2 linked regions of the Sus scrofa genome follow. The protein of the gene in region 1 purifies or fractionates together with the protein of each later gene. This does not show direct contact. Links are inferred from orthologs where the notes say so. Each region holds a gene or a part of one and is shown in the gene's direction. Other genes may lie near its edges.

Region 1 (2,524 bases):
TTCTCCCCTCCCCCACTTCTGGTTGAGCTGTAGAGTAAGAATTAAGCCTTTAAATAAATTTCAATACGTTAAACTGAAAGCTGGTGGTGAGAGGAAGCCAAAGGGACCCACACCCTAGCTTCCTCTGGAGTCAAAAGAGGAGAGAGAGGGAGGAGAGAGAGCTTGCTTGGCGAGTCAGCGAGCTGGGGCCCTGGGACCCTCTTCCTTCCCTCTGTGCTTTCTCGCTCTCCTCCGATCCCGCCAAGTGTAGGCATCTTTCTGGGAACAGAGATGTCATGTTCCAAGATGCATGTCTCTCCCTCCAGAGCCTCAGCTCAAAGGCATCGTCACCAAACTGTTCTGCCGCCAGGGGTTCTACCTCCAGGCGAATCCCGACGGGAGCATCCAGGGCACCCCAGAGGACACCAGCTCTTTCAGTAAGAAGGGAAGCCGGCTGCTGGGCGGGATGGGGGAGTGCGGGCCTGGCGATGCCAAATCCTATGCCTGCTTCAGGTTCTGTTCTTTTTAGTCCGGCTCTTCCCCCCCCTTCCCCCCCCCCCCCGCCCCAGGGGAGGAAGTGGAACTGGACCCGGAAGCGGGGCTCAGAGGGGGGCTGGGGGCCCCTAGGTACTGATGCCCACTCTCTCCACCCTCAGCCCACTTCAACTTGATCCCCGTGGGGCTCCGTGTGGTCACCATTCAGAGTGCCAAGCTGGGTCACTACATGGCCATGAATGCTGAGGGGCTTCTCTACAGCTCGGTGAGACAAGGAGGCTGAGTGGCCTGGGGTTTGGGGACCGTCCTAGCTACCGCCTTCTCAACGCCAGATACTTTGCAGCTCAGAGTTTCCACTCCCTCCAGCTCTTGCTGACGCCCTGTCCTCACTGCCTCCACCCGGGCATCTCCTCCAGGGTCCTTCCGGTTGGTTCCTTTTCTTGAACAGCTCCCCCGATACCCCCAGGCTCTTTGAATGTCCAACTCTGTTGACCTTTCAGGACCCCCGTGTCCCAACCTGCCTCCCCTCGACCTGGTTCTTCCTTCCCCAGAGGCATTCTGATTATTGGGGAGGAATTCAGGAATGCCTCCAAGTAGGAATTCCCTCCAGGTCCTCTGGCTGGAGAGAGGCTGGGAGTAGAAGAGAGACACACTCTCTTCTGATTCCAGGCCCCCAGAAGTCTAGAGTTCCCAGCCATCCGGGGCGGACCAGGCTCTCCCTTGTCTGCCCTTCCTCCCAGTTCCTGCATGGACTCAGCAGTCGGCCCTCCCAGCCTGACATGTACCAACTATATCCTGGCTTGTTCTTCCCAGGGCTCCTTCTGTGCAGTGATGTGTCTTTGTCTCTCTGTCCGTGTGTGCCTTTCTGGGTCTTTGTCTCCTCAGCCACATTTCACAGCTGAGTGTCGCTTTAAGGAGTGCGTCTTTGAGAATTACTATGTCCTGTACGCCTCTGCTCTCTACCGCCAGCGCCGTTCTGGCCGGGCCTGGTACCTGGGCCTGGACAAAGAGGGCCGAGTCATGAAAGGCAATCGAGTCAAGAAGACCAAGGCAGCCGCCCACTTTGTGCCCAAGCTCCTGGAAGGTGAGTACGGACCCTGCAGGAAGAGGTGGGCCACATGGGAGGGCATTGACCTTGACATGGACGTGCAGTGACACCCCCTCCCCCCACCCCCCCGCTGCAGTTCAGGGGCTGTACGTGTTTGAAGAGGACACCTGTTAGGACACATCAAGTCAGGAAGGCTTTGGCCTTTGGGGGTTTGGGGAGCTGTCTGGTGTGGGCTGGGGTTCCCAGAGGATGAGTATAGGGGAAGGGAGCCCTTTCAGAGGTCTCTCAGCACCTAACTCTCCTTCCTGCTCCTCTCTCTCCCCTTCACAGTGGCCATGTACCGGGAGCCTTCTCTCCACAGTGTCCCTGAGACCTCCCCTTCCAGTCCCCCTGCCCCCTGAAATGTAGTCCCTGGACTGGAGGCTCCCTGCACTCACACCGAGCCAGCCAGCCACCACCCCAGCCCTGCTCCTGGCCCTGCTCTCACCCCTGCTGCCACACTCATGCCCTCAGCAGCCAGGTCCCACCAGGTGCTCTAATCTGAGGGAGCCCAGGGGCTGGCTCTGACTTCCGGAGCCGCCAAGACTCTTAGATCCTGGGATCTGGGAGGGGGCTCAGAGAGGGGATTGTCTGAAAATGGTCCTGGCTGATCCGTTCTTTCCTCCCACACCCACACCATCCAAAGCCTTCCCCCAAGATGGCACTGGGGGTTCCCAAACTGACAGAACCAGGGCATAAATCCTCCCCACTATGGGCTTGGCCACTTCCTGGAGCCCTTTGCCCGTTCCATTGCTACTGAGCCATAGATTTTTAGGTCCACTGGAGCTCAGGATTCCTTTCCTTCTTGCCCTACTCCACCTTCTGCCTTGTTCTGGACCGGTTCTGGAATATTCAGGCTCCCCAGCCAGGGCCATTTCTGCACTCAGGCTCTGTGCTGGAACACAGGCATGCTGCCAGGCTCTGTTCTGGATCCATCATGCTTCTATCCTTGACCCAGATGGA
Region 2 (3,653 bases), on another chromosome or scaffold:
TTCTGACTTTATTAAAATATCTATTAACATTTGTAAGAGATGTTTATGGGTTGACTTTATCCTTTTCAAGAGGCCATGTTCACTAATTGCTGAGTTTTATACATATTACAGCAAGTCTTTTTGTAAGTGTGTGTTGCATCCATCTAGATGCTTTGAGATGGTCATGTATTGTCTTTAAATTTGCATTGGTAGCTTTTTTTTGTTAAACCAAAACATGTGATATCTGTTAAGATTTTCTGCTCTTTGCATTATCTAGGAAATATATCCTGGACAGTTCCAGCCATCTCTCTGTCACAAATTCATAGCCTTGTCAGATAAGGAAGGAAAACTGCTTCGCAACTATACTCAGAACATAGATACACTGGAACAGGTTGCAGGAATCCAGAGGATAATCCAGTGTCATGGTTAGTAAACTTCAGAATTGCTTTCTCTGTTAGTTGTTTATAGGAAAAATTAGGGTTAGAAAGTAGGCTGCCATCCAGGAGTGGAGGTGAAATTAAGGAAAGTAGAGGGCAAAAATATGAAACCAGAAGTATTGATTGGCCTTGACACTTAATTGTCAAGATATTAATGTGCTTTTGGATTTCAAGATGCAGCAGTTTCATACACTAAATTCTTTTAAATAGCCTTTATGGATTACAGAAGGAATTTTAGATATGAATAGAAAAAAAATGACTTGGTGGGGGCTGTGGAGGCTGCACCTGTGGCTGTGGAAGTTCCTGGGCCAGGAACTTAACCTCAGTTGAGGCGACATCACATCTGTTAAGGTTAACCTCTGTGTCAAGAGTTGCAACTGTCCAACATGACGTCTTTACGAAACCCAAGGAACTGCTGGGTAGTTCAGATTTTTAGGATTCAGAAATTGGAAGATTTTAAATAGATCATTTTGTTAAGTATGTAAACTGTTTCCAAAACACAACTGTTAAATTAATACAATTGTTATCTTCCAAATCTGCAGGAGTTGGTATCTTATTTATTTTTTTTGTCTTTTTAGGGTCGCACTCATGGCATATGGAGGTTCCCAGGCTAGAGGTCTAATTGGGAACCAGCCTACACCAGAGCCACAGCAACGTGGGATCCAAGCCACATCTGCAACCTACACCACAGCTCATGGCAACGCCGGATCCTTTACCCACTGAGCGAGGCCAGGGATTGAACCTGCAACCTCACGGTTCCTAGTCGGATTTGTTTCTGCTGCACCACAATGGGAACTCAGTATATTTTATTAAAAAGAGTAGCTTTAGGAAGCATTATTACATCGATGTCTCTTCTGTGAAGTCTCAACATTTCTAAATTCTTTAGCTTTTCTGGTATTAAACTTTATGTTATAACCTTTATTTAAGAAATGAGAAAATTCCTTTAATAAAGCAAAGATGTTTGTTGTTTTTAGGTTCCTTTGCAACAGCATCTTGCCTGATTTGTAAATATAAAGTTGACTGTGAAGCTGTACGAGGAGATATTTTTAATCAGGTAATTATCACCCATATTTTAGGAATCATGAATGTCTCTTTTGCCTCCAGATCTTTTTTTTTTTTTTTTTTTTTTTTTTTTTTTTTTTCCCTGAAAGTATTGATGTGGTACAGAAACATCCAGGAAGATGTTGTTAGTTACTATTGGGGATTCTAGTGAAATACACAAAAAAACCTTTTAATACCTGTGTTGAACACATTGTTCCATAGTGTCTCTCAAAATGATGAAATTGGCTAATATATAAGCCTAGAATAAAAATTTAGATAAGTGAGCTGTTACATATTACATTTTTCTCCTTACTGTCCTTTTTTCATGTCTGTCAGATTTAGAACCTTAAATTAGTTGTGGTAATCTTTTAAAACATTAAAAAGTATTTTGGCTCACTGCCAAAAAAAATTTGAGGAAAATATAGCAAAGAATAAAAACCATCAAGACATTAAAATTTATGTCTTAGCTTATTTCTTAAGCTAGCTGCATATATAATCATATAATTACAAGGGTAGCATATTAAAATGGAGTCATTTTACAGACTTGTTTTTTTGTTTTTTTATTGTTTTTTTGCCATTTCTTGGGCTGCTCCCGCAGCATATGGAGGTTCCCAGGCTAGGAGTCTAATTGGAGCTGTAGCTACCCGCCTACACCAGAGCCACAGCAATGCGGGATCCGAGCCACGTCTGCAACCTACGCCACAGCTCACGGCAATGCCAGCTCACTGAGCAAGGGCAGGGATCGAACCCGCAACCTCACGGTTCCTAGTTGGATTCGTTAACCACTGCGCCACAACGGGAACTCCACTTTACACACTTATTTTGTAAAAGATTAAATCTAGAGTTCCCTGGTGGCCTAGTGGTCAAGGATCAGCATTGTCACTGCTGTGGCATTGATTTGTTCTCTGGCCTGGGAGCTTCAGCATCATGCTCCAGGTGCTTCCAAAAAAAAAAAAAAGATTCATGTTGTATGTACGTATACATACATATACATGCTACTTTTTCTTCTTTATATGAGTTGACTCTTGAATATCAAATGTAGGTCTACACAGATAATTAGGATAGCAGCATACATAGATAATAGCAAAATGGCATTTCATTGTATGCTAATAAATGTGTCATTGATAGTATCCAGTTTTCCCTGTTGTTTATCCACAGCTTTTCTGTCATCTTTGATAATTTCGAAATGCATTCTTGGGAAGTCTGGAAATGTTGACTCTTTCTAACTTGGGCTTGCCCTTCTCTTTCCCACCTCAATCAAAATCTGGAACATGCAGGTGGTTCCTCGATGTCCTAGGTGCCCAGCTGATGAACCACTTGCTATCATGAAACCAGAGATTGTCTTTTTTGGTGAAAATTTACCAGAGCAGTTTCATAGAGCCATGAAGTATGACAAAGATGAAGTTGATCTTCTCATTGTTATTGGGTCTTCCCTGAAAGTAAGACCAGTAGCACTAATTCCAAGTAAGTTGATGATTTTTCAGAGAACCATTTATATATATATTTTCATGGGTTGTAGGTGTGTGTAGTAGACCCCAGTGATCTTACTGTTTCTTGGTAAAGAGCCAGGCTTTGACATTCTTGTTCGTGAAGATTGGTTAATCTGACATTCAATGGGGGGAAGAAGGCTTTCAAAACAGAATAATAAAGGGACAGAGTTTAATCCCCCCCCCCCCCCAGTCTTCTTTTGGGCTTCACTAGCAGCATGTGGAAGTTCCCAGGCTAGGGGTCGAATCAGTAGCTGCCAGCCTGTAGCACACCACAGCAACTCGGGATCTGAGCCATGTCTGCAACCTACACCACAGCTCACAGCAACACCTGATCCCGGACTTACTGAGCAAGGCCAAGGATCAACCTGCATCCTCATGGATACTAGTCAGATTGGTTTCTGCTTTGCCATGACGGGAACTCCTCAACTTAAACTTTTCAATGGAATGTGTTTTTAACGTGGCAGGAGTTAGTGTCAAATAAATTTATATACACTTTTGAAACAGGTTAAAAATGTGTATTTTTAGTCTTAATTTGAATTTAGCTATTGATCTTTCAAATTTGATTGATTTTTGGTCCAGTAAGTTCAAATGTGTAGCTTCATACATTTGTAATGTACTCATGTAAGATAGAATGTTGGAACTCAAAGTGATTGGTTTTGGTAAGAAGATGAGTCCTTGTCATAATCATGATATGTGCATCAGCTGT

The links.
Region 2: the proteins of FGF11 (region 1) and SIRT1 purify together in Homo sapiens (affinity purification with mass spectrometry; 3 studies listed by BioGRID and IntAct, with this or other methods). This does not show direct contact. The link is inferred for Sus scrofa from reciprocal best matches to the Homo sapiens genes FGF11 and SIRT1.

The regions. Positions count from the first base shown.
Region 1 is NC_010454.4:52,745,021-52,747,544, forward strand, and holds part of FGF11 (fibroblast growth factor 11), read left to right. Parts: intron 1-305; coding exon 306-416; intron 417-635; coding exon 636-739; intron 740-1,359; coding exon 1,360-1,558; intron 1,559-1,852; coding exon 1,853-1,923; 3' UTR 1,924-2,524.
Region 2 is NC_010456.5:71,111,564-71,115,216, forward strand, and holds part of SIRT1 (NAD-dependent protein deacetylase sirtuin-1), read left to right. Parts: intron 1-256; coding exon 257-404; intron 405-1,390; coding exon 1,391-1,470; intron 1,471-2,734; coding exon 2,735-2,921; intron 2,922-3,653. UniProt on the Homo sapiens protein: NAD-dependent protein deacetylase that links transcriptional regulation directly to intracellular energetics and participates in the coordination of several separated cellular functions such as cell cycle, response to DNA damage, metabolism, apoptosis and autophagy.